Linked DNA regions of Callithrix jacchus. The protein of the gene in region 3 interacts with the protein of the main gene of each other region in a pairwise test. Links are inferred from orthologs where the notes say so. Each region holds a gene or a part of one and is shown on either strand. Other genes may lie near its edges. The genes, in order: FAM124A, IRAG1, PRKG1 and LMO2.

Region 1 (8,630 bases), on a different chromosome or scaffold from region 3:
GGTCTTCTATACAGTATTTCCTCTTTCACCTTTTGAAAGACCTGTCCCATCTAAAAATTCACCCCACCTATTCTTTTCCATCCACCTATTTAAAAACTCTAGACCCCTGATTTGTTCGTTATGTTTTAAATCACAGTGAAGTATCAATTGGAGGTCCTACAAAGAAACAGGGCAAGATACGGCCCTATACATTCAGAAGCTCAGCAACAGCTGAGATGGAAGTGGAAGTTCATTAATGCCAGACCAAACTATTGAATGAAAATAATCCATCGCAGGTGAAAGGGTGGCTCAGATGCCAAATCTTGAAGACATCACTAACGAAACAGTCATGATAAAGCATTGGCTTTTATTTGCGTTTACAAGGAACTGCCTGTCCTTCTATTTAAGGGATTCTATTTAAGATAGTTTACCACCATCAGCAGCTGACTTGCCAGTTTTTGTTAATAGAAAGTACACAAGAGCACAGGCTTCTTGCAATTGGATTTGGAAAATGGGAGTTTCAAAATGACATCAATTGCCCCAGAAAAATACTAGTTTGCTTTTAGCCTTGGTCTGTGTTGGGTGGGTAAGACAGCAACAGCAGCATTTCAAGCAAAAGAAAATGTCTGAGCAGAAAACAAGAATTAATTACAAATCAAACAGCTCCTTGAGAGGCAACTTCACTAGATGGGAAGCACACTGGGGACCCAGGCTTCAATTCATGCCTCTAACAAACCATGTGCCCTCCAAGTCTCCACTTCCTCATCTGTAAAATATAATTATTAGAATACCGAGGCATGCCCTGTAGTCTCTCAGATGTTCTAAATGATCTAATTAAAGTATTTAAAAGCAACAGCATCTATTGTGATGAGCTTAAAGAACATATGCTCTTGAGTTTACCATTTTTATTATACAAAACTCTAAGTTTATCAATTGGAGTGTTCTTCATAACAATAATATGGTGAGACATAATCATGTACTGAGGGTTCTAGACACTGAACAGGCACAGTTCTAGGGGCTTTAAATATATAGGCTCATTTAATCCTCACACCAACCCTAGGAGGTAGGTACTACTATCATCATTCCCATTGTACAGAGGAGGAAACTGAGAGCAGAGAGAGGTTAAGTCACTGGATCAAGGTTTCATGGTCCCTAAGTGGAGGAGCAAGAATTTGAATGCCAGAGGGCTGGCTCTTGTGACTGTAACTTTCAAAGGGACCAGCCCGGCCTGCCCACCGGCAGTGGGACTCACGAAGTTTCTCGGAACTGTTTCTTCCTTCATGCTGCTGAACGGATGGATAATCAGCTTAAGCAATACCCTGAAAGCCCTTGTTTCGATGTTTTGTTCACACACCCTTCCCCCAAACTCTGATAAACCTAACTACCCACCATCTCTCTCTGCCTGACCCTAGGTGTTGAGCATTGCTGCAGGAAAATAAATAACAAAGGGAACTTGTACCTCTGTAAATACATAATTGCAAATCTCAGCTGGGCACCCATTCAACATTGCCCCAAACAACTATTTGAATCTCCATTCTCCTCAGATGGTGAAGGGCTGTATTTACACCAAATAGAAACCCCATCTTGTCTGCCCTTCTAATTGCAGGAGGGGATGTCCTGCCTCCTACCTAAAGCCATCCATTCCCCTTTGTGAAGTCCACTTTTTCAGAATACTGACACTACAGGGCCAGAAGCAGTGGCTCACATCTGTCATCCTAGTACTTTGGGAGGCCAAGGTGGAAGGATTGCTTGAGGCCAGGAGTTTAAAACAGTTTCTGAAAAACATAGCAGGACCTTGTGTTTATAAAAATTAAAAAAAAAATTAGCTGGGCATGGTGTCGGTGGCTCAGGTCTGTAATCCCAGCTACTCAGGAGGCTGAGGCAGGAGGATCACTTGAGTCCTGGAGTTTGAGGTTGCAGTGAGCCATGATTGCACCAATGCACTCCAGCCTGGGTGACAGAGAGACCCTGTCTGGTTAACAAGCCAGCCAGCCAGCCAGCCAACACTACAGCTTATCATCTTTACTCCTCCTTTCCCTTTCTATAGAATCCCTTCTATCACACTGATTGCTCAATTAGTGCATGTGTTTAGGAAATCTTTCCTCACCCCACTCTCCCCTTTAGCTACTGCCTATTTTTGCCTCTTTTTTTCCAAACAAAGGAATATCTGTCTTCTCTTCACCTTCTACTGCCTTCTAGAGCCACTCTAATCTGACTCCTGCCTCCACCACCCTACTATCAAATATCACTCTTCCTTCACTTCATCATCTCCATTAAAATACACTTCATGTTCCTCATCTTCGTTAGTTTCTCAGTAGCATAGCTGATCTCTCCTTCCTTTCTCAAAAACTCGGACCTCCCTTGGCTTCAGTGATTTATATATTCTTCTTTCTTTGACTCCATGTCTACTCTTTCTTAGGCTCCTTTATCAGCTCATTATCATTGACTGGCCATTTAAATGTTGTAGTTTCTCAAGGCTGGTCTTAAAGAGCACCTGCTGCACAGAGTTGTTGCAGGATTTGAGAGGTCCATATATAAAGGCTTAGAACAGTAGGCGACAGAGTAAATGCTAAGCACGTGCTTGCTATTAACTTCAGTTGATTTAATCTCTCCCAGGGCTTCCATTGCCATTTTTAGGTAGTTTCCAAATGCAATGTCATATAGACCTCCCTTCTGAGTTCCAGACAGATATATCGAACTGCTGACTCATCATCTTTACTTGGATGTCTCACAACACTTCAGACACACACAGTGTGCTGAAAATGAAATGTCTCATATCTTGCCAAACTTGGTTTGGAAGAGATCACCAGCTACTTTGAGAATCTGATAAAAAAAAATTAGTTGTCTTCTCATACAAATTCACAGGCACATCATTTTGCATACAACTTGAAGCAATTCATGGACCCCAAATTAAGGATCACTGCCTTAGCAGATGTGTCACTTGAGCTGAGTCTTGAAAGAAGAGTAGAGTTTCACCTGGCAGACAGGCATGCCAGGTGGAAAGGGCAGAGCTGGCAAAGAGGGCAGCTTGACAAAGGCAAGGCTATAGAAAAACTTGTTGGATGTGGCTAGATACAAGGCGCAAAGAAGGACCTGCTGAGAAACAAGGCCAGGGAGGGAAGAAGGGACTCCGTATCAGGAGTTGGGATATACATGTTAAATTCCTTGCATTTGTAGATGACAGAGCCATAAAAGTTTGAAAAGGAGAGAGACATGAGCAGATGTACATTTTAAAAAATGATAGGCCAAGTGAGGTGGCTCACACCAGTTTGAGACCAGTCTGACCAAATGGAGAAACCCCATCTCTATTAAAAATCCAAAATTAGCCGGGCATGGTGGTGCTTGCCTGTAACCCCAGCTACTCAGGAGGCTGAGGCAGGAGAATCACTTGAACCCAGGAGGCAGACATTGTGGTGAGCCGAGATCATGCCATTGCACTCCAGCCTGGCCAACAAGAGCAAAACTCCGTCTCAAAAAAAAAAAACAAAAACACAACAAACAATAACTAACGACGGCAAACACTTATTGAGTGCATTCTATGTGCTTTCTACACAATCTCTGTGAAAGCTGGATAGGTAAAGGATGCAGGGCAAGCTCCAGAAAAGAAAACGATGAACAGCTTTCTGATAATTGAAATTCAAGGGCCCTATGAATAGATGGCAAATAAGACTAATAAGCATATATTGAAACGATTTTATTTAAATGCATGCTATTTTTCCTTTAAAGATGGTAGTGATACAATAAGAATTCTTTAAACAATTCTGTCCTGCTACAACTACACATTTTAGTGACAGAGACTGAGAACAGAAGCTCTGGTGTCAGCAGGGCTGGTGAGCCCCTCCCAGGAGGCCTGGCAGCTGTCATGCTGATGTCCAGATCCTGGGGCCACGTCACCCCCTGAGTCAGGACTTCCTCTCCCTTCTCTAAGACAGAGCCCTTGAAAAAGATATCAGTTTTAGGTGAGCTCTGCAAATTGAAAATGAGCAGACTAATGAACGCTTTAACACAGCTACAAATGAGCTGGTTAATTTTGCTTTGTTTCTTCTATTCATGGTCCAGCTAACTAGTGGCAGGAAGAAAAAGCCAAGAATCTTCAATTAAAGTTGATAAATGCCACTTACACAAAGTGTGGGAAGAAGCAAGGGAGTTTAGCATTTAGCATCAGGTTACTCCACCAGATTATAATTGGGTGCTGTAGAGAACTATGGATGAGCTTGGATAACAGAGAAAGCCCATTTCTGGGTGAATGCCCTAGAGAGTAAAGTCCCACATTTGGGCTAGGAGTGGTGGGGCAGGAGGGGCTGTATGGGGAGCTTCCCAGGGGTTGGGTTAGAACTCTGGATTGATCGTGGGCCTGGATTCTCTACCTGCCCTCACAGGGTTGCCAAATCCTGAGATTAGTCTAAAACCTCTCCGACCTTCCAGGAATGAGGCTTTCTGTAGTCTGGGCAGCTCCTGCCCTCCCCCAGGATTACTCCAAATAGGAAAAGACACCCTTTCCTCCGGGGTCAGGACCCGCGGCCTGGATGTGGTGCTGACTCTGCACCGGAAAGTCCTCTAGAGATAGGGGCTGCCTGGAAGCCTTTCTAACGACATTCATCTCCTAAAAGGCATTTGTCTTTTGTTCAGCTCAGGAAAACAGTGTTGTTGAGAGAGAACTAATTCGTCTCCAAAGGTTTGAGTTCATTGTTTGAGTCCGCTGAATCGAAGAGAATATTAAAAAAAAAAAATCGGTGCCAAATCCTAACACCATCTCCATCCCGCCGGTACCACAGGCCAGCGGTTCGGGCTGGGACAGGTGCACTTAGAGGTGAGGAAGTTCGGCGGGACTGGAGCAGTCGAGGAGGGGGACTCGGCAGCACAGATTAAAGTCCCACGATAAAGCCATAAAACGAGAAATGCCATCCTCCTAGCCGACTTCGGAAAGACTTTTAGGTGCGGGTGTCCTACCTTGCTTTTCCTCCTCTCCCCATCTCCAGGGCCCGACTCCAGGGGGCTCCGGAGCTACAGGAGGAAAGTCCCCGAGGTGGGGAGGAAACAAGTGCAAGAGCATTTCCTGACCCTATTGATGCTGAAAAGGGGTCGTTGCATCCACCAGGCGCTCCGCATCGCCTCACGGGATGGCTGGGCTTGCCCCTGAACCTTGAGTCTCCTCACTTTCCTCCCCTAAGGTGGGGCCCGCCCCGCCCCGCTCCACTCGGGGCAGCCAGGGATCGCTCGGCCAGTCCAGGAGGGAACGGGGGAATCCCACAGGAGGGGAAGCCCCACATGCCATCCCGCCGCGGGGATCTAGAGGGTCCTCGGCTGGGGAGGAGCCGCCGTGTAACTCGGAGAGCGCCCCCCGCTCGCGGCCCGGCCCCGCGCGGCTCACCCTCCAGTCTCCGCGCCCGAGTCCACGCAGTCGTCCTCCTCGCCGCCGCCGCCCGCCTTCGGGTCCATGATGCCCGTCCCGGCCGCGCTCGGGTCGCGAGCGCCGTAGTGACCCGGGGCGCGCTCCCTCCCGGCCGCCCAGCACTAGCCGGCCGGGTTCCCTCCGAGCGTCTAGCTGCCGGGGAGCCAGCAAACAACTCGAAAGACAGCCGCGAACCCCGCGCCGCGCCCTCTCCCGGCAGCGCCTGGCGGGGCACCCGCGGCCGCGCCCGCCCCGCCCCTCGCCGCCCGGCGGGACCCGCGGGTGCGCGCGAGCGGTGTGCGGGTGCGCGCGAGCGGTGTGCGAGCGCGGGGAGGGGGATAGCGTGTGCGCGTGAGTGGCCGAGGTGTGTGATGTCGCGTGCATCTGTGGATGTGGTCCGATGTGCACTCACGCTTCCACGCGCCTGTGGCTGTGCTGACCGCGTGTGTGTTGTGGGGGGCGGGGTGATTGTGCACACGAGAGCCTCTTCTCTGGCCCAGTCCCACAGTCCAGGAATCCCTAGCCCCAGGGCTTGCCCCGAGGTTCCCCAGCTCCTGATCTGGGAGGAGCATTGAGAAAATCAACCCCAGGCATCGTGAAAGCTGGAACGATTTGTTTCCTTTTTGGGACCACTTTGAACACCTGGGCGTTTTCTTACAGTTTCTGAAGAATTGCCGACACCAAATTCATTATCACCTTTCTCAGCACAGGACTGAGTGGCATCCCACCACCCTACTTGCCGGTTTACAGTAGGTGTCATGCGTTCTTTTGCTACTTAAAAAAAAAAAAAAAAATGCCTTTAAAAATAATCTAAAGAGCATTGAATGAACTTGCAATTCACGGATTGCTGCAGCAAGGGGATAACCTCAGGGTCAGTTAATGATCGTGATTGGAAGGGCTCACCTCCTATTAGGAGGGTAAAGAGGGAGGCAAGTTGCAGGGGTGGCAGGAGGAGAATCTGAACAACTTGAATTTAGTTCTGACAGCCCTGTCCAAGCCATTGGGAGGAACTGTCCTTACTGAGCCTAAAATTCCTTGCACCCCAAACGACAATGGGCATATTTGTGCTCATTAGCTGAAAGAAAGAAGCGTGCCAGTTCTTCAGGGGAGATTTCTCTGCCCATCCACTGATTTCTAAAAGAAAATTCTCAAGTGGGGAGAGGAACATCGTGAGTGATATATTGCACAATGCCATTAATGATCCATTTTTAATGTACTGATTCATTCAGTAACTAAATGCCAAACGGGAGGGTGAACTCTGCATATACAAATGAGAGAAAACAGCAACAGGTGCGATCCTTGCCTTCATGGCTCTTACATTCCAGAGGAGAGAGAATTAAACAATTCTGTGCATATGTGTGTGTATATATTTATTATTATTATATGTGTATAATAAAATGGAGACAAACCACCATGGAGGAAAAGAATATGTGCCCAAGAAAGAAAGAACATAATTCAAATTGTGAGAGAGCAGGGAAAGCTCTCTTAGGAAGGGATACATGAGCCCTCTTCTGCCTCAGGGCCTTTGCACTTCCTGTTCCTTCTTTCTGGGATATTTTCTCCCAGATTTTCTGCAAGACTCCCTCCACATTTCCTTCTGTTCTCGGTTCAAATGGCCCCTCATCAGGGAGGCCTCCCTGGCTAATCCTACATCACAGTATCCTCTTACTCGACTCTATTTCTTTTCTTTTCTTTCTTTCTTTCTTTTTTTTTTTCGACACAGAGTTTTGCTCTGTCACCCAGGCCGGAGTGCAGTGGTGTGATCTTCGCTCACTGCAACCTCCACCTCCCAGGTTCAAACAATCCTCCTGCCTCAGCCTCCTGAGTAGCTGGGATTAAAGGCACACACAACCATGCCCAGCTAATTTTTGTGTTTTTAGTAGAGACAGCGTTTCATCATGTTGGCCAGGTTGATCTCAAACTCCTGACCTCATGATCTACCTGCCTCAGCCTCCCAAAGGGCTGGGATTATAGGCATGAGCCACCATGTGAGGCCTATCCCAATTCTATTTCTTAGCACTCTACCAGGAGCTGGCAGATGATAGATTTATTTACTAGTCACCTGCTCTTTCCTTCCCACCCCTACCCCTAATGTCAGATTCATCAGAGCAGAGACAGAGTGCTTTTTGTTCTTGCTGTGTCCCTAACACCTGGAATGGCCCCTGGAGCAATGGGCGTGTGTTGAGTGAGTGACAGGGAAGCAGCCCTAGTGCAAGTTAAGGGGTGAAGAGGTGCTCCAGGAGGAGAGAGGGTGAGGCAGGTGTGAGGCAGGATGGGGCCCTGAGCATTTAGAGGGGAAGTGATGGCAAGTTGGGTGACTAGAGCTATGTAAAATTGCAAAGACGGTAACAAGATGTTTGACCGAAGTGTCACCTCTGGAAAGTCACCAGTAGGCCATTATAGTGTATTTGGAAAATAGATAAAGACTGTCAATGAATCCAAACTAAAAGGAGTAATACAAATGGCCAAGTAGGTAAGCAAAATAAACATTCCACCATTTTTTATCCTACAGCCATGAGGGAACCTGTGTGTGGGAACAATTCAAACTGTACCTCATTTGATCCTCAGGGAAGTGCTGTGAAGTAGAGTTATTTTCTATTTTACAGTCAAGGAAACTAAACCCTACTGAGTTCAAGTGCCTTGTCCCAGGACACACTATCAGTGAGTAGGAAAGCCAGGTAGTCCACTTAAGGTGGCTGGAGTCTGTGTCACTTACCTAGAAGGCTGACTAATGGGCCATTTGAATCCTCAGGAAGATGGTACTAAGAAAAAGGTCAGGAAGAAAGGAGGAAATCAGCATGACTTTTAGAAGATGAGCTTTGGAAAATGAGTTGCTATTTACTGATTTCTGCCTTTCTCAAATATCCAGAGAAAGGGCAGGCCAGACCAAAACCCCGAGCCACATCTCAAAATGATGCATTGATTCAGGTTCCCTTCGCCCACAGGCGACACAAGTGTTATCATTCATCAGTGGCGTAGCTGTCTAATGGCAACTCAGTGATGCATTTATTATATGGAAGAGAAACTTAAACAGTATCACTGTATTCTAGTGATGCATGGGGCTTCTGCTTCAGTTTCCCAGGGTTTTATAGTCTCACTTCATTGTTTGCTTGTTTTGAGACAGGGTCTTGCTCTGTTGTCCAGGCTAGAGTGCAGTAGTGCCATCATAGCTCACTGCGGCCTCGACCTCCCTGATACAAGTGATCCTCCCGGTTCAGCCTCCTGAGTAGCTGGGGCTACAGGCATGCCCCCGCCCAGC
Region 2 (7,906 bases), on a different chromosome or scaffold from region 3:
ATGTGCTTTTATTTTCAAACTCAGGTATGTGACACTCTACAGTTCAATGCTAGCACACCTGTGTGAGGCTTAACAACATGAGGAACTGACAGCCAGTGATATACAAATCCAGCACTCCCTTTCCATTTACCCTATCAGGCTGTACATGGGAGCAACACATATGGCTTTGTGGTAGCCAGAAAGTGAAGGTCTTTTTAGGAGGTGACGTCAACAATGACACAAACACATCACTCTGCAACTGAAGGCAGGGAACCAGACTCCTAGGGCTAAGCAGAGATGTGAGACTTCAGAGGCATTTGGGGGACTTTTCTTTCAGATTCACATCGTCATTGGAAATCCAGGGCCTGTTCTCTCCAGTTCACTACCGCTTGGGCAGCAACTCCCACTGCTCCAGGTTGGTCTTTGCTTTCCAGAAAAGTTAGACCCATGAGTACTTTTTCAGCTATGCCCTTGTACATGTGGCTACTCTTATGCTCCCTTTTGGAGACGCCCTTTTCCTTGACCTCCCTTGCTTACAAATGGAGTAGGGTGTGAGAGAGCCTGTGCCTGGTAGTACTCTTGCAGGCTTTTCTGTGGGGCAGCTGAAGGTGCAGGAGTTCTCTACACCTGCTTTCGTGGCCTTTGACTCATCCAGAAATGAAGGCAGGAAACTTGTGACCAAGTGAACAATGGGTCAGCTGAGCCTGGCCCTTCTTTAAGGGAGGCAGAGATTGAACATTCCCCACCTGGAGTCCTGCTTCCACGGCCACTCTCTGGAACTCCATTTGCATCCTGTCTTTGGCTCTGAGGGCCTCATGTAGCTAAAGCTCCTTCAGTTTTATCCAGAACCCCTGGAAGAGCTGGACAAACCATCCACTCATGGCCCCAAAGTCTCTCTGCCCTGCTCTGTAACTCTTTACCTTAATGGCACATCCTTGATCAACCCTGGCTTGGGCCTCTCTCAGTCATTTTCTAGCTACTGTAAAGGATGCCCCTTCAATAAACATGCTGTTTTAAAGTGGGGCATGCTTGGGGTGAGGGGGGGGTCTCTCTGAAGGTTTGACTGTATGGAGCCTAGTCCTTGAGCTTGGAAATGGTGTTGCTAGTCTGGTCTCATTCCTGCTCTCTCACAGAGGAGACTGAGAAACAGAATAAGCTGAGGTTAAGAAAGATGTTGCTTTTGGCATTGTGATGTGGTGATGGTGCTGGTACTGGGAAGCATGTAGTATGTCAGCTGTCCCCAGGTGCTCTCCACCACCTTGAATGTTTGCTTGTTCTTTTAACCAACATTTAATTACACCCTCCCAAGCGTCAGCCACCATGCTAGCACTTACCCAAGAGATGGGTAAGACATGGTTCTTGTCTTTGAGGAAAAATGCTAGCGGAGACAGATACATAAATAGGCTGTGATATATTATAGGTAAAGGTCAATAATAAAAATGTTTAAAAAGTGCCAGAAAACACAGAGGAAGGTGTGACCTATTATGCTGTGTCTGGTGAGGAGTATGGAAGGAAGGTCATCAAAGCTGGTGGAGGGATAATTTTTGTACTTGGTCAAGAAGAGTGACCTAAAGAAAAGGGAAGAACAGCTGGCGAAAAACCAGTGAGTGAAGGCCCAGAGCTACGAGAGAAACTTTAGTTTGGGAGCCAGAGATGGAGCTGATGAGCCGCTTGGGGGAGTGAGACTGGAATGTGAGGCTTCCAGCTAGGAGACCATCGAAGAGTCAAGGACAGCACAGCTCTGGGGCCAGTCTACCCTGGGGTTGAGTTCCAGCCCCATGATTTACTAGCTGGGTGCGCTTGTCAAGTTATTTGTTCTTTTTGTGCTTCAGCTTCCTTATTTGAAAATGGGAAGGGTGGTATCCACTTCATATATTTTTTCTTTTTCTTCAGGACGTAAATGAATTAACACCTACATAATACTGAGAACAGCACTTGGCTCATAGTAAGTTGTATATGAGTTTTAGCAATGAAAGCAAACAATATCAATAACAAAACAAAAATGCAAAACAATGACAACAAAACCCACATGGAAATCAACATCCCTACAAAACTGATGAGGGCTGAATGAAGGCAGTGGCTATAAAAGTGGGGAGAGAAGTCAAAATGGAGAGGGGAAGTGCTCCTTCAGTTTTGTGCTAAATAACTGGTGATGCTCTGAAACATCCCCAATTATACTTAGGTTGGAAATCCTGTTGGAACTGAAGCACTAAAATGCAAGTTTACCCTTGCATGTGGTCACACACACGATAAGAGACTGAAGCAGAAAGCACATCTTCTCTCCTCATTCGCCCGTGAGGTGGGTTAACTGTTTTCAAAGAGATAATAGGGAATAGATGGTGCTGTACAGCAGCTCAGAGTCAGCATTTGAAATGCAGACTAGTAAGTCTGCCATTGAAGCCATAAGTTTTCAGTGTTTTTCAGACATCTTCAATCCATGTGGACAGCTCACTGAGCAGGTGCCTGGTGACTGCCCCATGCCTAGTAAAAATCTGTGGGTGGGTTGGGTTGGCATGCATCTTATTTATCCAGAGGCATACACCCAGAGCACGCTTTTGAAGGGTTGTTGGCTCTGTGCACATGCACGTTGTATGTATGTGTATACACAACTGTGTGTGTGGACAGATGCATATATAATAATTCATATCTTCCCATTTCAAGCACTGAGCTAAATTCAGCTTATACTTTTTTTTTTCTAAGAAGCCTTTACTACTTCTGTAAAAAGAAACTCTCATTCCAAAGGAGAGGATGGGAGGCTGAAGAAATTGAAAATGAGATGGGAAATGGGAATGATAGTCATTTTGCAACTCCAAATTCCAGGTCTGATCCTTAGGGTATTAGTCATTAAGCAAATTCTCCCTGATAACCAATTACAGAGAGGAAAAAAGAGAGTAAGCTTTTTACTGCCCCCTGCCTCCTTCTTCCCTGTGCCCCGCTCCCTACCCCCAACCACCAGTGAAGATGTTTTAGTTCTCCCCAGCCATTTGAGCTAGGGGCAGGAGACCTTCCCTTCCAATAGAGTTCCTTGGTGAAGGTGACTTCTTTATCCACTGGATGCTTTCCCAGGGCAGTTTCGTTGATCCTCCAAGAATAGCAACTCACTGTGTATCAATAGCTCCCACAGAAGTGCCGAGTGTTAAAGAAACCCTTCCTCACGACCTGATGGGATGGGTGGCAGCATGTCCACACCTGGGCCTGACATTATACTTGGGGAAAGGGTGGTAGTCTGAGTGTCTCAGAGCAGGGCACTGGCTAGGTGTGAGGTTTCCTACTGCTCTGTAGGCTGCTCATGCTGGAGTCCTGAGCTCCACCAGGAGTCCCTCTGGCCTGCTGAGCAAGTGGATCGTCCAACGGGCCCATCAGCCTGCTCTGCACAAGAGTTATAGGAATTGTAGAGCCCTAGGACAACAGTCAAGACCAGCATCACTGCAGCCATCATCCAGATCACTTGCCAGTGCTGACACAGTTTGGGATACATGACTTGTAAGAAATGGACCAATTCTTCAAGTTTGCTGTCAATGAAAAAAATAGGCAGAGGCTTTAGTATACTGGGCACGCATATGATACACAGACCCATAGTTCTCTCTGGGGATAGCTTCCATGCTGTCTTGAGCACTAGTTCTCAAACTCAGCTGTGCCTAGATTGGGTTGGCAGCAATTGTTCAAAATGCCCCAAGCACACTGAATAGGAATATACAAAGTTATGGTCTAGGAATCATTGGCTAAATTTTCCCAGGTGATTTTGATTCCACCAGTCTACAGCCTTGATGTTGAAAGCTACTTGACTAGATCATTCTACTTACTTGTTTGATCAACCATCCACACATGCCCTCACCTATTCACAGGGTGATTACTGATATCTACACTCTCCCAAGCCCAGGGCTACAGGATTGGCTGATCCATACTCTCATGCATCCAGACCATCACGGGACTGTGCATCTTTTTAGCACTTAGCTGTATTAGTGATCAGTTCCAAGCTCTAACCTGTCCCTTGCCTCAGATGCATAATTCATTGTTCTCAGTTCCACATCTAACTGTGTTCGGAGAGGAAGGACTGTGCTAAACTCATAAGAAGCTTGATATTCTGTGATAAATGACAAGGGACTAGATCAACCTCAGGAGGTCACTTCAAACCATCCAAGAGCAGGCAGAAGACTAGCAGCCTCTAGCAATCTCTGGGTGATTTGTTGATGATGTTATCTCAACATCATTAATATTTATTATCTAATTTCTCTCTCTTCCTTTTTCTTCCTTCACTCTCTCCATACTCCTTTCTTCTTTCTTTCATCTCTCTCTTCCTCTCCATTTTTGCCCCTTTTTGTTTTTGCTTCCTTCCCAACTGTCTTTCAATTTGTCATCTCTCTCTCTGACATAGTGAAAAGACATTGGGCAGATGGCCTCCTTTGGCAAGTCCATTCTAGAGCTCTCTGAAGAAGCCCTGAACCCCTTCATAAGCTAGGATTTTCTGCTGCTCTTAATCTGTAATTTTAAAAATATGAAAAATGAGAATACCGAGGATTCCTAAACCAAGGAGGTGGGGAAAATTATAGAAGTGGTTTCGGAAGATCCTGAGGCTCACACGCACACTCCAATGACCAAGCCATTGGCTGAAAAGCAGAGAGCTCAAATTTAGAACGAGTAGAAAATGTGTGACTTGCAATGGATTGAAAAACTCAATAAATACCCTCCTTAGAAATGGTCCAGATGCTCAGAGTGCCTTCCTTGGATGCTAAGGCCACAGGGAACATTGACAGGTTTCTCTTCCACGCGGGAATCCCATCAGATCGTTTCAATCACAATTAAGAAAAGCACAAAAGTGAGCACATTCGCTGATTTGAAAATCACTGGCTATTTTCACAACTGTTGGGAAGGGAGAGTTTAGAAGTGGAAGTGTATTTTCTTTCAGCCCTTTTTAGATTCTTTAGGTTCTATTTAGATAGAGTTGAATGCTAAAATGGAACCTTTGGGGCTATATTTCCATCCTTTAAAACAAGCTGCTAGAGTGGCTTCTCCCTACTCTAACTCCACTCTTAAGTGCAGCTCCAAAGGAGGAGGCCAAGGTCTGGCTGTGTGACCTTAGCTGGTCACCGGTGCCTAGCCTATAAAAGAGGTTAGAAATAGATTAGAAATAGAATTTCTTTGGAAGTCAATTTTTGGTTGTTATAAGTAAACTTCTGTTTCCTGAGAGTTATTGGAAACAGAATGGGGTAAATGTCATCTTAACCCCACAGAGCAGGTTTTAAAAGGCGTTGGGAGAAAAGACAAAAGTTTTAGCTTGCCCCTATGAGTCTCACTTGTTCAATGTCAGAAGACTGTGTTCTCTGTTTTAATATAATTAAGATATTGGGGTTCACCCAAAGTTTATTTAAACTGATCCTCAAGAGAGCCATATTTGTAACATAAATTGTTATATATAACAGATAAGTGACTCAGACAAAAAGACTTTAATGTGTGAGGTTGAATCTCTTAAGTAGTCAGCAGCTGGGCTGAACCCAATGTTTTAAAAATGCACTAAGTAGGACATGGAACTTTTAATAATTTCAAACCTTGCTTGTTAGTGAGGTACCAATATTTCAGGCGAGAATCATGTTTGAGAGATGGTGCGTGATAAACGTTACAGGTACCATTGCCACACACTGATGACCAGGAGCTGGACAGAAAGGGACCAAGCTAAGCCTTACTTCTCCTGGGTTTCATGAAATGGGAGGGAGCTGGCAATTGCCTGAGATCGAATTAGCTAGATAAAGCATCGAGGCCCTTGCTTTGCAATCCAGACTGTTTATATTCCATGTACTCTCTCTGTTTATTTATTTTTTGTTCTTTCGCAGTGTTTGGAAGTGTTAGAAGTTCTAGCCTGTCTCAGCTGTATTCAGGGGTGCCAGAGGAAGTGCTTTTTGTCCAGGGCTTCACTTGACTGCATTCAAGGGGAGGAAGGCAATGTGTTGGCCTGAGAAATTTGAGCGGAGAAGCCTCAGGACAGTGGTGAGGCCTAAGAAAAGGATCTGGTTGTCTGGAGTAGGGATTGTGCTTTAATTGTTAAACTTGGAGGTTCTTTCATTGGGGAGGCAGTGGGTACTAGCACAGGCTTGTTTTCAGTGGAGAAGCATTTCTCCAGTTCTCCTAACAGCTCTTCCCTTGAACAATGGGGTTGACCAGCATGGGCTGAGACCTCTCTCAGTGAGACCTCTCACTTTAGTTGAATCCTCCACTAACTGGGCTGTATTGGTAGCTCCTATGTGCCTATCCATTTTGATTCTAGTCTTCACTTCATTACCTGTTTGTTGCAATTATGTGGTTTCCAGAGTTCTCCAGCAACGAGGCACAGATATATACACTGATTAGATAATATTTCAGCAGCTGATTAGATATTTTGTCTGGAACTGCCCTGGACCCCAAGATATCCCAGGGGTCTAAAAAACAAGGATTTTGGTGAAGGTTTTCTAAGGTGGCTATAACTACATTTAAAATAATCAAAATCCAAGACTTGTGGTTTAAATATACTAATAGAGACAACATAGTTAAATATATGAAATTGGGCTGTCCTGAAAATCCAGAATGTTGGCATGATCATTATATCTATGCGGTAGAGTACTCCTCTTCTATGGGTGCTAGTTTATCCTATCCCTAAGCATGTACTTCTGGAGGATATTCAGGCCTGGTGGGGCTGAGACCTCATTCCCATAATATTTCATTGCATGAAGTGCCCTGGAACTAAATGAGATCATTTCTACGATTCTGCATCCTAAAGGCCAGGCAGAAACCACAAGTGGGACAAGATATAGGTCTATATTCTCTTTATCTACATGTTCTATTCTCCTCCCCCAACTTAGGGGAAAGTACCTTTGAAATAGAAAGTATTCTAAAAGAAAACCCCAAATATTTCTAGCCTAAAGTGAAGACACTCTCTGGATGACCAAGCTTGATTGGTCAGCATGGTAGGCACCTGTTGGAGACTCACCTTGTCACTGAGCTGAGTTTGCCCTCTGCTCTGCGTGTCCTCCCAGTTCCTGTTCTTGTAAAAAACCAACTCCAGAGCTTTAAGTCAGCTCCCTTGGTCTTGGCCCTCTCATGGGGATGGCTACCCATCATTTCATCTGGGAAATGAGCTAACTATGCCTGGGCTGGGAGGGACTCCACTCAGGGCCCTTTGCCCATCCTTAGCTCCAGGAGCTCTTGATTGTCATCTTCCCTCCCCATGACTGCCCCGACCTCTCAAGCTCTTGCAAACTTCTGATTGCTAGTGATCTCGGCTCTTTGGGATTTCCTCTACTCCCCTCCCAACATGAGTGCCCTCTTGGTTTCTTTGGCTACTCACTGAGGCCTCAGATTCACTGCTGCCCTGGACTGGCATTTCCAGGGATTTTGTGCATTTAAATTAGGTGAATTGTAACCCATTCCAGCAATAGCAAGGACTCCAAACACAGGCTTCCCACCTGCTTCTTGGGCCCTTTTCCTCTTCCTCAGTTTCTTCTACCTCTTCAGGTTCCTCAGGACTCTCACCCTTCTGTTCTTCCTCCTCCTCCTTCAGGTCTTGAAGTTCTTTGTTCTTCTTTAGACCTTCTTGGAATCTGGGGGACAAAAAGGAACAGTTGAGTCTGGAAAGGCCAGATGCAGTGCATCCTTTCCTGAGTTCCTAGGGGAGGGGGCTTGAGCAGCACCTCCAATAATTATGCACTTCCTGTGGTTCCACAAAACAGGAAAAAGCTGGGAAGCTCCACTGAATCCCAAGGCAGCTCATGCCAGTACCATTTCCCCTCACTCCTCAGTCATCCTTCCTGTTTATGTGACAGTGTGACAAAACTGATGAGGAAAAAATGTAGTGCAGGATCTCCTGACTGGGTTCTTATCCCACAGAACGTTCCATAGGCCTAAGATTGTATTTGTTCTCCATGTCACCATGGAGCTTCAGCCTCTCATCTGTGAAAGA
Region 3 (8,001 bases):
TTATACTGAGGTAAGTTATTCTTCAAATACAAACACAATATGTAAAGTGTGGAACCCAGGCCTTTCTCAAAAACACTACTGTTTAATCAAGTCAACAAAAAGAGGAATCAAAATAAAGCATTCAGGAATAGAGAAACAAGTGAAAAGATTGATGGTGAAATTTGAGTCTAATTAATTGATACTTAGATCAAATAATTTAAATTTGGGTAATTGAACAGAATGTCAATGTTGTAGGCTTTGGCAATCTTAAAATAACACTAAAACCAGCAAAAATTAAGGTGGGAAGTGAAAGTAGGTACAACTACAGATATAGTTATTTCTCATTATTAATAATCAGTAATATTACATATATTCTGCAGTTAAAATGTGTCATTACAGAAGAGAAATTTCTAAATTCAGTCTGAATTTTTTTTTAATTTTAGAGAAATATTTTAGGAATTATTGGTTAAGGAGGATGTATTTGAAATTTAGCATTTCTTTCCATTTTACTCCTTAGTTTAAAGTAAACTTAAATTGAATATTTTTAATTTTAAAATATGCATAATATATTCTGTCTACAATCCACATAGAGAAATCTATGAAAATATGTTCATCAAACGTTGATTACTATGAATATTTTTTGGTGTTGAATGACTTTCTTCTAAATAATTTTGTTTTATATATTGAATGAATATTAGACTAACATGCATCACATAAAAACCACAAAAACCATCTTTAATAATTGATTTTAGTTGTCTAAGATAAGCAATTAAATATAAAAGCAAACATATAAATTAGAAAACATTACATTTATAACACAGAAACCCAAAGATGTGGGTCCTTCTCATTTTTTAAAGTAAAAATGAAAACTGGCATGTTAACTTAAGAGAATAAAGAGAATATTCAATCATAGGATCACATAAAGAGAAACTGTTTAAATTCTAAGACAATACTAAATAGATTTTCATGTTTATATATTTTTTAAGTGATGTAAAATTGATAGACAATTACTAGCTAATAACATATTAAAGTAAATAGAAAGCACTTTGCACAACAAATCAAGGCAGAATCCATCACAGCCCTTAGCACAGGTAAATCTGCTACTCCTTACTTTAAATAACTCATAAGCCTGCTTGATAAAAAGAAATCATTTGAACTGCTCTTAATAAACATGAACATGAAGGGCAAAAATATAATAATTCAGATTTCTCCCCCAAAGACACACAAAAACTGTATTAAAGAGAATAACTAATTTTCAAAGAAATCATTTGTCAAGGTGTACCATCATCTCCCTTCTAAACTGTGAGAAATATGAAGAAAAGACCTCACTTTAGTCATCTTTGTACTCACTGAAGTTGCCACAAACTACACTTCAAGGATGGATAGGTTAAAAAAAAATCAACAGATGTGCCTCATGAGGACTGAAGGGTTACATCCTTACCAACAAAGATAATGATTAGTGTTAAGTTATCTAATGAGGTCCTCTGTGCGGAGAGAAAATGATAGAAGGAGTACTATTCTACAGAAATATTAGATCAATAAATATTTACTGACCCCTTAGTATGTACGTGCTGTGAACACTACTCAACTCTGGGAATACCAGCAGAAAATAAACTATTCTGGAAGGGAAGACAGACATAACATAAATAACTACACAAATGAAAAGATAATTACAAAGTACAATAAGTGGCATAAGCGTGCTATGAAAGTGTAACAGGGACGAAAACTTTAAATTTGAGCATAAGATTAGATTGTTAGATTTTGTGGGTTGATAGAGGTTAATTGATTTTATTAGGTTGACCAGAGTAGGCCTTTTGGAGAAAACAACATAAAACTTACTTCACTGAGATTTGATAAAATGAGGCATTGGCCAGATATGTGGGGAGAACCTTTCAGGCCAGATAAATAACACCATGAGGTAGGAAAGCGCTGAGCATTTCAGTGGAACAGAGAGACACTGTTGTTTCTGGATCCAAGTGAGTGAGGGTGGTAATGGCATGAGGTGAGGGGGGGGGTAGTATCGTTGGTGTTCCTGTGGCCCCTCCTAATGACTTAGGACTTCATCTCAAGTATAATGAGTGAGTCAGTAAGTGTGGAAAAGGTCAGAGAGTGAAAGAAGCATCTTGAATGACCAAGGACAGCATGAGGGATTAGACTCCAGCAGTAAAAAGAAATCAGGGAACAGCAGATAAACTTGACCCATTTCTGGTTTTGCTAAGTGATTTACCTGGAAGGACTTCTACACTGTTTAGCTCTTAATCTACTTTCATTCCATTGTCACTATTAATGTAAGCCCCCAAATAAGAATTGATGTCATCGGTGGAGTTTATAGCAATTCAAGTGTTCTCATGTAGGAAATAAAAATAATAACTCTTGTCATGTCTCTCATTCTTGCAGCCCACCTTTCTCAGGCCCGGATCCTATGAAAACCTATAACATCATACTGAGGGGAATTGACATGATAGAATTTCCGAAGAAGATTGCCAAAAATGCTGCTAATTTAATTAAAAAACTATGCAGGTAAGTATCTCAACTACATTATCTTTGAAAAAAATCATAATGTGAAAAGATTAGATGTAATAAAACTATTATTTTATTTTTAGGGACAATCCATCAGAAAGATTAGGGAACTTGAAAAATGGAGTAAAAGACATTCAAAAGCACAAGTAAGTCTTCTTTCCTTATAACTTTAGGTTTCAGAGTTCCAAACACCTGACATCATTTTGCCAGGGTGTTACTTTTTAAGTTATTGGTGTAAAAACTAGTACAATTAGCATATAGGAACATCCAAAGACAGAATATAAACTTATTAGGCTTTTCCTTTCTAGTTGTTTCTGAAACTTAATTTTATTTACCTGACAACGCTGTGACATAAGAAACTGAATTCATTGAACTCAGTTTCTTGCAACTCATACCAACTAGCATTGTTTTTTCCTCTCTGGCACAAAGAAGAAATGTGTATTTTAAATTTGGAGATTCTATTCTCTACCACAGTATTACAAACAAAAGTCCCCTACTGTTATTGTACCTGATTTCCTAAACACAAAATATATTTTTCTAAGCATTTCCCAACTAGATGTCATAACAGCAGAATACAGTGTTTTTTAACCAATAGCAACATCTTAAATATCAGACCTTTCCTATATTGACTGGATGCTCTAAAGTTAAACTACTTGGTTTTTCTCTATTTGTGTAACACTGACAGAAAATTCACATCCTTATCAAAGAAACATGTTTACTAAAATATCTATGAATATCTGAAAGGCCTGCTAAGAATTTCTTGTAAGCATTTGCTAATGGTGAAACCTTTCAAAGACAAAAGAAAACAAACAGGCAAAAACATTAGTGTTTTTTGGTCTGTATTTCACAGAAAAAACTGTACACAAAATACCTTTATTCTTCATTTAAAAAGGGAAGAAAGGAGGAAAATGGAACATGTAGAGACCACTACAATGATGTGAAATGAAAAGGTTAACTAGCTGAGGCTGTGCACTGAGTCAGTGGCAAAAATGGAAAGTTCATTTTCTATCCTGACTTTTCGTGCCCTTGTTCTATCTCCTTAAAATAAAATACCCTGTAAAGCACAGGGCCAGACATATTATGACATTTATTAAATTATAATTATAGTATAGGAACAAGGTCATTAGAGACATTATGACTGAATTACAAGGAAAAATAGTTTCATGTTTAACTGGTATTTAAAATTGGACAGATATACTTTAAAAGTATGCATTTCACAAAATAAGCTAATTGGAAAAGATATGCAATTAAATAGAAAACATTTTGTCTCATGAAAACGTTTGCCTAACTGCTTTCCATTAGCCATGGACATTGTATACATTGCAATTAGAAGATTTTAGCTGACATATAACATCTTTAACTATCAACATTTTTTCCTTTTCTAGATGGTTTGAGGGCTTTAATTGGGAAGGCTTAAGAAAAGGTACCTTGACACCTCCTATAATACCAAGTGTAAGTAGATTTTACAGCTTATAATTGTATGAGACGCTTGGTGGTGTTTATGTCAGTCAACAATGATCTGTTATCTTTAAAGTTTCATCCTGTTATAAGGTTAAACAAACTATAGGAAAAATGTCACATTGAAATAATGACATTCTAAAATCCAAGCTTAAAAGCAGATACATTTGGGGATAGTCACTGTAAATATGTTTTGCTCTTATTTTTTTTAACTCTTCATTTTAATTCAAATTTCCTTCATTTATGAACATGTTAATTTTTAGTATCGAAAATGTTTAAAATCTAAAAACTGAGACAAAAGTTTATAGTGAGTTTACAGCAACCAGTTTCAGCAGCTATCAGTTTTGGACCAATGTTGTTTCATGTATGTCTTCACATAACTCCCTCCTGCCCTCCCCATGTTACATGGAAGCATACTCAGGCACAATGGTGTGTTTTTATCCTTCCTTCAGGTTCTAAAGTAAAAAAGTAGTTCTTTTTTCTTGACTCTCTTTTTTTAAAAAAAATCAAGTTTTTTGTTAAATAGTCTACTAAATTCACTGTTTATACTATATTAATTTAAAATAGATTTCAGCAGATTGCATTTATATTTTTACTCAGTATTGCATCTAGCTAATAAAATGTGCAGCATCTTTATTACGGGGGAGAGGACTACTTTGTGGTCCTGGGACTTTCATTTGTGTTTCCTCTCTCTAGGACTATTGCAAGACTGCTATTTGCACAGAAACATTTTCTCTATTCCATTTTTCTTTTGAGATTGGGTCTTGCTATGTTGCCCAGGATCCAGGATAGCCTCAAACTCCTGGGTTCAAGCAATTCTCTTGACTCAGCCTCCTGAGTAGCTGGGACCACAGGTGCACACCATGAACTTGGCTCTATTTTCCCTTCTTCTAAGATTTATTTCTATTCTAATATTTGTTTGTTTATAGACCAAAAAAAAGCATTACAGACAGGGTTTCAATGTGTTGGCCAGGCTCATCTCGAACTCCTGACCTCAGGTGGTCTCCCTGCCTTGTCCTCCCAAGTGTTGAGATTATAGGCATGAACCACTGCACCTGTCCTACATGATCACTTGTATACTTTCATGGCATCTCTTTTTCTTTTCATAGCTCTAGCCAAAGTTTATTATATAGAAAGATTTTTGTAATTATTTTTCATTGTATATAGATTTTTGAATTATATATAGATTTTGTGATTATTTGTTTTAATCATACAATGTATTACTTACCATGGGTATAAACTCTGTGAGGATAAAAACCATGTCTATTTGTACTCACCACTGAGACCCTCAATACCTGCTACATAGTAAGCACTCAAAAAAGTAGTCACTAATAGGGAATAAATACAGGATGTGCTTAAAAATTCCAGCAATTCCACACACACACACACAAAGTGCATTCTCTCCTATTTACAGGTTGCATCACCCACAGACACAAGCAATTTTGACAGTTTCCCTGAGGACAACGATGAACCACCACCTGATGACAACTCAGGATGGGACATAGACTTCTAATGTATTTCTCTTACCTGCTTCTGCCTTGCTGAAGACAGCTTTTTCTGAGACACAGCTGCCAGCAAACCTGAAGGAAAGAGAGAAGATTAGTGCTCGGGGTCACCATGATGCCTTTGATCGATGCTGCTCCGGTAACTACAGTGGCATTAGGACTTTTGCTTAGATGACAATAGTGCTCTTTACATGTTTTCTGTTCGAACCTAAAATAGCAGTTGACATGGTGGTCCTGAAGCAAAGCCTTTCACCAGTAAAGAGATGTTTTCTATTGTTGCAATGACCTTGCTTTGCTCTGATTATAATTTGAAAGACTGTAGGAAACACTTCAATCTAGTAGAAGAGTCTGTACCTTGGTAGAATATTCAAGAAGATGAAAGAATAATATATTGGGTACGATAGATTACTATGGTACAGAAACTAGGCTATTCCCTTTCTTCAAGTGAAGGCTGTGGGATCTATTACTGCAGGCCGGTGTATATACCATTCAAAAGAGGACCACACATCTGTTGGTCACAGAGCTCATGTCACACTAGTGCTAGAAGTTTCATGATTTTATTTCCCAGCAGTGCTGATGACAAGACTGAATGTTACCCTTTCTTTCTGACAGAATTTAAAAATTGATATGATAAAAGCACAACTGCTATAGATTCTGCTGAGACCTCTCATAGTAGGTACATATGCGTTTTCACAGAGGACTGAAAAACAATGCATGATATTTGGGTTTTTTTTTTTTTTTTTGATAAATTGGCATGACAGAGTGGGGAAAAAAAGCAGTTCACAAAACCATTTCATATTTTTAAAAATACTGTGCTTAAAAATGGTCCTGGAAGTAAATGACTAGCAGCCAATTGGTTTTACCTAACATACCCTCAAACTGAGGCTTAAAGTATTCCCTTTTATAAAAATAACCCCTCGGGGTGGGGTGGACAGGGGAGGGATTAAAACCCATCCAAAAAATAAATAAAAGCTATATAGGTGCTATGTATATCTTTCATCTGTAAATGTCAGTGTCTGAACAGACAACACAAATTCAAATCATTATATGTGTAGCCAGAAACTCAAGCATTTTCACTGAAGTTATTAAACCAAACTCCTGTCCAATTTCACTCATACAACATTGTCAGTCTGGAGTTGAGAGACAACGGTGATTATAAACCTATTTGAACTAGCTTTTTGTCTTAGGCCTGAACCAAAAACAAACAAACAAAAAATTAAAAAAAAATAAAACAAGAAGGAAAAACAAAAATAAAAGAAGTAGGAAAGACAAAAAAAGAAAGCCCAAAGTCAAAGTTATTAAGATTTACAGCTTTACCAAGCCAGGAACGTCACTTCTGTGAGGTCAGAGAACAAAACAAAAACCTGGCCAGGTGCTGATTACCTTTTTGTGAATAGGCTGAGTCCACCCACTTCTCCAAGTAAGAAAGCAGTACAGAGGAAAACAGGAACCTGATTTTTAAAAAAATAAATTTTAAGTAGGACAGAATTACTACAGTTCTATGATTTCACACTACCTAGAACAAACTAGATTTGAAAATGTCAAACTAATTTACTTTATTCACGTGGAGAAAAGAATCTGCAAATTAAACTGAGTCCATCCCTGGCAGGCCGGTTGATTATTATTAGCTTTAATAAGTAACTCAGCCATTTGGAAGCTCTTCCTGGACAAAACTGCATTATACCTATGAGGAAAAATATAAAACATTTAAAGCTGTCATTCTGTTTTGGCACAGTGTGTGAATTTGGTATATTAAATTGAGGCTTGCTCTTTTCTCAGTAGAGGTTTCTTTTTAATCAATCAAATGTCAACACTTCTGCAAGAATAAGTCCAATTAGATCACTATACCTTAACTAAGAGGGCATATATTATAAATTTTGTTTGATTTTTCAAACCCAAAACTACCTTAGAATATGATATCTTATGAAAATATAATATTCTTAAAAATGTGGAGGATAAAATGAAAAGGGAATAAACTTCAATTAAAACTTCAATCCTAAAATGTTATTGTTATTCTTGTTTTTCTGGAGTTTTCCCTCCCTTATAATTTCTCCAAATTAGTCTATTTCCCAAGATATCCACTGTTTTCTACATATTTTAGAATATAAAACTAAATATAACCTAAAATCCAGCAATGTATGTTATTACAGTTTTATATTTTTTTAATTGGCCTTTTTGACATACATAATTCCAACATTATAGTCAATGTTCAGTAATTTTTGTTGAAAGATAATGTGGCTTAGGCATGCTAAAGACTTGCTAGGATATTGAATTTACCTTGTTATTTGGAAAGACTCTGCTTCTGCAACTTTTCAAAAATCCCCAAAGTCCCAAAGATTAGCACTTATTGTGGATTTTGGAACTATGGTTCAAGTCTAAGACAACCAATATAAATAAGTTCAGTGGAGAAGGAAGAAGTAGCATTCAGCACAATGTAACTGTAGACTGTTTTCCCACTTGTTACTGCATCTTTGTTCATTTCACCCATAGCATTGCATTAGGTGTCTGAAGCAATCACCACAAAACAAAGGTAAACTAC
Region 4 (8,001 bases), on a different chromosome or scaffold from region 3:
TAACTGGCCAGGTGACCTGAGCAAATGGCATCCCCTGGACAGGCTTCTGTGACTTAAGCTGTAAAGCAAGGGAACTGAAAGAGTAGCCCCCTGCAGCCCCTTCCAGCTCTGGGAGGCTGAGATTCTAATATGAGTAAAAAATCAACCAGGACTCAACGCCTAACTTGAGCATTAACTTCCGGCACCAAGAATTGGTATCTTAGGCTGGATATCCCAGAAGCAGCCCCCAAGGCAAGGATTTATGTGCAAGTGCTTTATGAATGATGCATTCTCAGGAAAAACCTAGAAGGCAGCAGGGGAGGCTGGAGGAAAGGGAATGAAGCCAGGCCAAGTTGCAACTTCAGGCAAAGTCCCTCGGAGGGGAGGGACCCTGGAATATAAGTTATGCCTGGCTTCAGGCAAGGCTGCAGGGCTTGGTACTCCCACCACGTTTGTCATTGGTTAAGGTCTGCTGGGGGTCTAGTCGGGGCAGGCACACTTCTAGCTCTAACAGATGCAGGTGCTGGCTGTTAGAAGTAAAACCACTGCCATCACCACCAGCCCACCTCTCCCAGCATACAAACTGGTGAAAAGGGATCCAAGGAGATCTGGCTCAGCACAGACATGAACAGCTGCTCTGCGGTTCCCAACAATAGAATACGGTGGCAGAGTTGAGGTTCTGCACAGGGGCCTCATGAATATTTGAAGTTGATGTCTGAAAAGAACTGTAACATGCAACTCAGCCACTGGAAATCCTCAAGGGGACAAATTATCCTGGGGTGAAGAACTCAACCCCAGAAGAGGGTCTGTTCAGCCACTCTTCCAACTTGCCTTGTTAAAAGCTCCTGCCGGATCACCTGAGGTCGGGAGTTCGAGACCAGTCTGATCAACATGGAGAAATCCCATCTCTACTAAAAATACAAAAAGATTAGCTGGATGTGGTGGCAGGTGCCTGTAATCCCAGCTACTAGGAAGACTGTGGTAGGAGAATCACTTAAACCCGGGAGGCAGAGGTTGCGGTGAGCCGAGATTACGCCATTGCACTCCAGCCTGGGCAACAAGAGCGAAACTCCGTCTCAAAAGAAAATAAAATAAATTAGCTCCTGCCAGATATACTAAGAATCCAAGTAAACAAGACCATGGCTAAAGGACCATCTCTGAAGCAAAAGACAATTTTTCTCCTCGGTCAAGAGGTGTCCCATTTTAAGCTCTCTGCTGCCCATTTTAATAACAATAATATAAATATTAAAGGATGGCTGGAAATGCCCGCACTAACACAGAGTTAATTAACATGTTGTCTAGGAATATGGCAGGAGAAGAATTATTTCATGTCACCAAGACAAAAGTTAATTAACATTGGGTTCTTCCAGGCTGTTTTTTTTTTTCCTCTCCTTTTTGAAAATAGAAAGGATTAACAAGCCCAGGCAGCACTGGTTTTATTCTTGAGTGTTATATAAAACGGTAGAGATAGGGAGAAGCCGGGCTCCTCTGACCTTACTCTATCTGCACTTCATTTAATAAGATTCAAATGATTTGACAGGGATGGAGTCAAGGGTCCGATGGGAATCATTTATCCGCCTCGTCTGCCTCCTCACTGACTTGGCAAACTGGGAGTGAGCAAAACCAGGTTTCTATTTATCCCAGTTCTATTCTTTGTGACTTAAAAACAAAGGAAACTGACCACAATTATAAATATGATCATTGAAAAACCCTACTTATTTTCTTGGAACCACCATATCTACAAGGACTTTATCTGGGAATTCGAGAAGGGGAAAAGCTTATTCCATCAGTCTTCAGGTAAATGAATAAGCTTCCTTCACTGTGAAACTACCTGCAGTTTTTTGGTTTGGTTTGGTTTCTGTTTCTGTGACGTAAAATGCTCCGAGGGCAGGTTTGGGAGGAAAAGCTGGCCCAGTAGCCAAGGGCGCTAAGATCTCAACAAGCTTCCATGGGTTGGATGGTCCTGATGTGTCAGGGAAGCATGCTTCACACAGCCTCTGCTCCAGGAAGACGGAGACATACTGACAGCTACACAGCTGAGCAGATCTGACAGTAGCGGGCACAGAGAGTTACCTTCACTGCAGCTCATAGGAAACTAGAAATGCTAATACATTCTAGGCAAAGGCATTCACAGAGTGCTGGACAATTCGGATGGCCAATAGGATGGCCCAGAGCATGGGAGATGTCCTCAGCTCCTGTCTTTTTTTTTTTGAGACAGAGTCTTGCTCTGTGGCCCATGCTGGAGTGCAGTAGTGCAATCTCGGCTCACCGCAACCTCCGCCTCCCAGGTTCAAGTGATTCTCCTGCTTTAGCCTCCTGAGTAGCTGGGATTACAGGTGCGTGCCACCACACCTGGCTAACTTTTTGTATTTTTAGTAGAGATGGGGTTTCACCATGTTAGCCATGATGGACTCAATCTCCTGACCTCATGATCCACCCACCTTGGCCTCCCAAAGTGCTGAGATTACAGGCATGAGCCACTGCCCCTGGCCCTCAGCTCCTGTCTTACTTGACATTGTCAAATTCCTATTTTACCCTTCCATTCTTCCATCCCTTTGCTCATTAGATTTGAAAATAATGATTATGTCACAAGGATAAGTTATAAGAGCAGCTAACACCTATTTGATCCATACCAAGCCAAGCCGTTTATCTGCACTATTTCATCAAATCCTCCCTATGTCTGCAGAGCTAGGTGGTCCTATCATCCCCAGCTTACAGATGAGGAAATTGAGGCTTAGGGAGGTTAAGTCACTTGCCCAAGGCCACCAAGCTGGGAAGCAACGGTGTTGGGGCTCGAACTTCCAACTGACTGCAGGGCCTTTGCCCTTATGCCCTTTGAAGACTGCCTTCCTGCTATGAGTCAATGCTTGGGGCTCCATATGCTTCTATTTTTAAATTTCTCATCATGTAATACTGCAGTCATACAAAAGAATATTTGTCGCGTGTGTGTGTGTGTGTTCTGAAGCATTCAAATGAGCCCCTCAGAGCCCAACTCCAACCTTAGAAACACCCCCAGTGCCTAGGATCCTCTGTGCATACTCCTCCTCAGCCCTATCCCCTGGCCTCTTCCACTCCCTGAGGGAACCACACTTCCAAATTTTGTGTGTACAATTCTCTTGCCTTTAAAGATATTAGTATTTTACCACATAGGAACATAACCCTGAGAACATGATTCTCAAACAGGAAGAAATGCTCACTGCTTCTCAGCACGGGAGCTAAGACAGCCTCTGCAGCCTGACCTCACTGTATAGGTGGTGTCTGAGCCTGGAGCAGGGTCAGGGCAACATGCACAGACTGCAGATGTCCATGACCACCCAGCCTCCCCCCCAAGGGCTGCAGAGGGGTGCCAGGGAGGGTACCTGAGATAGTCTCTCCGGCAGAGCTTCCGGCCCAGTTTGTAGTAGAGGCGCCGCCCCACCTCGCCCAGCCGGCAGCCACAGAGGTCGCAGCTCAGGCAGTCCTCATGCCAGTACTGGTCGATGGCTTTCAGGAAGTAGCGGTCCCCAATGTTCTGCTGGCAGCCGCCGCATGTCAGCAGGGACGGGGGGATCTGCAGCACCTCATCCACTGGTTCCCTGGAGAGAAGGCCAAGCATCAGGGACAACCTCACCAGAGGGAGACCAGCACCGAGGGGCCGAGATTAGTTTGGGCCAGACAGGGCACCTCATCTGACTGCCTGTTGGTGACCTAAGGGAGAAGGGACGGTACAATATATCCATTGGCCAGACTGACTGCAGAGACCCAGCCCACCCGGGGTAAGACAGGAGAGAGCTAGACCTTATGCCCTAGATCTCTAAGAAGTAACCACAGGGCACCAAGAGGCATGAAAGGCAACTGCAGGTGGCACTGTGCCCCAGCCCATGCCCAGCACCACCTGGGCACCTCTGGTCTCCTTCTGCTCTTTCTCACTCTCCCCGCTGACCTTCCCTCTCTATCTTCACAGAGCTCCCTTGGTTTTCTCCTCCTATATCCTGGACCCAAGGGCACTGCCTAACCTCAGAGGAGGCACTCTGGACTCAAAGAGTCACTCACCACCAGGGCAGCCGATGACCCAGAGTGCTAAGAATCTGCAAACCCCATTTAATACATTTCCATGCCCCTCCAGCCCTTCCAACCGCTCAAAAGCAGAGGTGAGGAAGAAGAATGAGACCAAAAATTATTTTAGGTTGCTTTCTCTTGCCAAATTAAAAATTCCTTCAGAATATAATAGGAATTCTCCTAATTTTATTTTATTTTTTACAGATATTCCATTTTCGATTCTTTCTACTGAAGGAATTCTTGGAGGAAAACCCCAGACTGTAAGGCCGTTGTTATATTTATGAAGAACATCAAATAGGCCTGTCCTTCCTCACCTGAACATTTTTATATTAGTAAAACTGATTTGGATGAAGTTGATTTAAGGAAGAAAATGAAGAGGGGGCAATGATTATTTCAGAGAATAGAACGCATTTAAACAGACAGTGACATCTCAAACCAGCAGTCGTTAGTAGGCTGTGGCGTGTGTTTTTCGTTAACATGCCATGCATAGTATCTCCTGCCTACTTGGCTTCACTGGAATCTCAATACTCTTTTACATTTAAAAGTCAATAACTTTGCCAAAAGAAAATGAAGGAATGGAAGGAATGATTCTAGTGTCCCCCAAATGGGACATGGGAAACACTTAATACTTACTTATTTGTAATAATTAGCAAATGTTCTCTGGAACCTTACTTAAACACAAATCTGTTTCTTAAAAATCTATTATGTTTCAAAAAAATGGACTTTCTTCCAACTGTAAAGGACTTTCTTCCTGGATACACTGCAGGTATAAATCTGTGTCTCCCTCCCTTTCTCCCTTCCTCCCTTCCTTCCTTCCTTCCTTTCTCTCTCTCTTTCTTTTTTTCTTTCTTTCTTTGAGTTTCGCTCTTGTTGCTCAGGCTGGAGTGCAGTGGCAGGATCTCAGCTTACTGCAGCCTCCACTCCTGGGGTTCAAGAGATTCTCCTGCCTCAACCTCCTGAGTAGCTGAAATTACAGGTGCCTGCCACCACAGCCAGCTAATTTTTGTATTTTTAGTAGAGATGAGGTTTCGCTATGTTGTCCAGACTGGTGTCAAACTCTTGACCTTGTGATCCAACCGCCTTGGCCTCCCAAAATGCTGAGATTACAGGTGTGAGCCACAGGGCCCGGCCTGTGTCTCCTATTTCTAACTGGCACTAACTTACCAGGTGACCTTGTGTCCTAATTAGTCTGTATCCAAAAAGCCCAGCAGCCATTATATTTGGAGACAGGAGACTCAGGTGGCTCAATGTCTATAATACTCTGACAACTTGAGGTGATTCTGTCATGCAAAGTATGAAGTACTCCCTATGAATATTTAGGAGTACCAAAGCCATGTCCACACTTTGTAGATACAGTGTAACTGGACTTCATGAGATTATCATCTTTAGAACAAGTAAATGTAAAGTTCAAGCTAGTTTATCTGGGGGGAAAAAAATGGCCAGGCACAGAGGCTCACACTTGTAATCCCAGCACTTTGGGAGGCCAAGGCAGGAGGATCACTTGAGCCCAGCAGTTTGAGGCCAGCCTGGGCAACATGGCAAAACCCTGACTCTACAAAAAACATAAAGAATTGCCCAAGCTTGGTGGCATGAGCCTGTAATCCCAGCCTCCCAGGAGGCTGAGGTGGGAGGATCACCTGAACCCAGAAGGATGAGGCTACAGTGAGCACTGCATTCTAGGCAAGACAATACAGTGAGACCTTAGCTCAAAAAAAAATCAGGACTGCATTTATTTATTTACTTATTTATTTATTTATTTTTGAGACAGAGTTTCGCTCTTGTTACCCAGGCTGGAGTGCAATGGCATGATCTCAGCTCACTGCAACCTCCGCCTCCTGGGCTCAGGCAATTCTCCTGTCTCAGCCTCCTAAGTAGCTGGGATTACAGGCATGCGCCACCATGCCCAGTTAATTTTTTTGTATTTTTAGTAGAGACGGGGTTTCACCATGTTGACCAGGATGGTCTTGATCTCTTGACCTCGTGATCCACCCGCCTCGGCCTCCCAAAGTGCTGGGATTACAGGCGTGAGCCACCGCGCCTGGTGACTGTAGTTTTAAGAATTCACTGAAGGCTTGCTTTCTTTCCCTTGTTTCTACAGATTGTATATAAGGACTACCATTCTCCCTTCTAATAACTAATACCCTGGCTTTTTCACGTGTATCAACTGGGAATTGCATCTCTTCTCTTTCCACAGCCCATGGTCTTACTCTGGGCTTTCCAAACCACTCATGGAACCTTGACTACATTGGATGCTGCCAAAGGACTGTGAAAGAGGAGAATTTGCCCTTAGCTGGTGCAAAACTGCCTGGAATTCAAATGAACTGCTCTTGGTACTCACGGGAGGCAGCGGGGGCCAGCAATGGCATAGCAAGGGAATCTCTGTGTTCATGAATTCTGGCTGGCTTTCTGTCCAAATGTTTCATTTGCATATAGCTAGGCAAGTCTCCATCTGTAATTTGGAGATGCTGACTGTAATAACCCAAGTTGGCTTTGAGGAAGTACACAATGAAGAATCTAGTAGGATACTGGACCACAGGAGGAACGTAAAGTAAATGAGTTATGGTGACGGCCTGAGATGAGATGGAGAAGTAAAGTGTAAGATATTGGCTCTGTCTTTCTATAATTAATTAATGATAATATCACATTATACTTAGTGGACAATCCAAGACAATGACTGAATGAGATTGATTCACCCTCAAATTAATATTTTATATTCTCCCAGAGCCTATCTTGAATATTATACCTGAATATCACTTCAGCCCGGATTTCTGGGATAATTTCATAACAATTTCTAAGGGGGTGGGGAGAATGCACTGCAGCAATTTCTCAACCAGCTTGTGCCTTTTTGATTAGAACCTGTCTTCATTGGGCAAATAGTGAAGTGAAGGAAAGAGCTGGTGAGCCTCCAGCAGTCGATACCTGCCTGTTAGGAAGTTAGGATGTTTCAGTTTTATATCCTCAGTGAGAAAGCACAAACTTTGAAAGAAGCAAACTTCCTTCAGGGAACTGAAACCTTCAGATTTATCTTCTATTGAAAGGATTAGTGACAAAATTCTACTGATCAAAAAGGCATTAGGCACCAATTCATCCAAGTCACTTCCTTATTGTGTGATCTTGCCCAGTCTCTGAAACTCAGAGCTCGGTTGTAATTGTTAAGTTTATTTAAAAACGTGATCAAACCACCCTTTAAACCCATTGTTTGCATAAACATACTTTTAAAAAGGAATGTTATTTTTCTTCTGAGAATTTGTTGAAGGAAGTGGGGGTTTTTGCTACAACAAACCTAGCTCATTATAGAACTGGTGTATTAACCTTCAAGACTGAATAGTGATGTTTATATTCTCATTGGATGGTGGTACTTCCTGCGTTTTATGAGAACATGCTGAGCTTTTATGCTGGTAACGGAGGGTAAAACCCAGGTAAATAAACACCATAGCCGAAATTGAAGGGGGTGTATGTGTGTGCGTGCGTGTGTATGTGTGTGTGCGTGCGGTATTTCAAGCAGGAAAGCACAATTCTTTTAAAGCAGGAAAAGACAAAACAAAACAAATGTCTCTTAAAAGCACAAATGGACAAGTCATTAACCAGCTCCTTTGGTCTTGTGTAACAAATCCCTTCAAAGGATTAGATGGGGACTTCAAAGGAATAAAAATTCTCAAAACCAGACAGCTAATGACTCTTAAAATGGCATTTGCGTTGACAGGAAAATGATATCTTAAACACCCCCTGCTCCCCATGTTAACACTAAAGAATGGGTTAGGGATAGAGAAATACTCCAAACTGGTACGAGGCTCAGAAAACAGATGCGGCCAATGCTCATTAGAGCCCTGGTTACCTGACCCCAAACCCTTTTGAGACTATGCTAAAAACTGAGACTCTGCTCCCCAGAAGAATTAACCTACACGCAAAATGGTGCACTAACTTTCGAGGTTCACAGGCCCCATCGGTGGACCCCGAGGAGGGGTACGCGTACTCAGATTTACT

Evidence for each region.
Region 1: the proteins of PRKG1 (region 3) and FAM124A interact in binary tests that used the Homo sapiens proteins (3 or more experiments, as listed by UniProt). The two-hybrid records come from large-scale screens. The link is inferred for Callithrix jacchus from reciprocal best matches to the Homo sapiens genes PRKG1 and FAM124A.
Region 2: the proteins of PRKG1 (region 3) and IRAG1 interact in a two-hybrid assay, tested with the Homo sapiens proteins (2 studies listed by BioGRID). The link is inferred for Callithrix jacchus from reciprocal best matches to the Homo sapiens genes PRKG1 and IRAG1.
Region 4: the proteins of PRKG1 (region 3) and LMO2 interact in binary tests that used the Homo sapiens proteins (3 or more experiments, as listed by UniProt). The two-hybrid records come from large-scale screens. The link is inferred for Callithrix jacchus from reciprocal best matches to the Homo sapiens genes PRKG1 and LMO2.

What each region holds. Positions count from the first base shown.
Region 1 is NC_133502.1:64,723,654-64,732,283, forward strand, and holds the start of FAM124A (protein FAM124A), read right to left. Parts: upstream 5,557-8,630; 5' UTR 5,419-5,556; coding exon 5,351-5,418; intron 1-5,350.
Region 2 is NC_133511.1:76,421,271-76,429,176, forward strand, and holds part of IRAG1 (inositol 1,4,5-triphosphate receptor associated 1), read right to left. Parts: intron 7,548-7,906; coding exon 7,413-7,547; intron 3,492-7,412; coding exon 3,248-3,491; 3' UTR 1-3,247.
Region 3 is NC_133513.1:77,906,370-77,914,370, reverse strand, and holds part of PRKG1 (cGMP-dependent protein kinase 1), read left to right. Parts: intron 1-2,376; coding exon 2,377-2,499; intron 2,500-2,582; coding exon 2,583-2,645; intron 2,646-3,884; coding exon 3,885-3,951; intron 3,952-5,371; coding exon 5,372-5,470; 3' UTR 5,471-8,001. UniProt on the Homo sapiens protein: Serine/threonine protein kinase that acts as a key mediator of the nitric oxide (NO)/cGMP signaling pathway. GMP binding activates PRKG1, which phosphorylates serines and threonines on many cellular proteins.
Region 4 is NC_133511.1:99,236,829-99,244,829, forward strand, and holds part of LMO2 (rhombotin-2), read right to left. Parts: intron 3,555-8,001; coding exon 3,339-3,554; intron 1-3,338. UniProt on the Homo sapiens protein: Acts with TAL1/SCL to regulate red blood cell development. Also acts with LDB1 to maintain erythroid precursors in an immature state.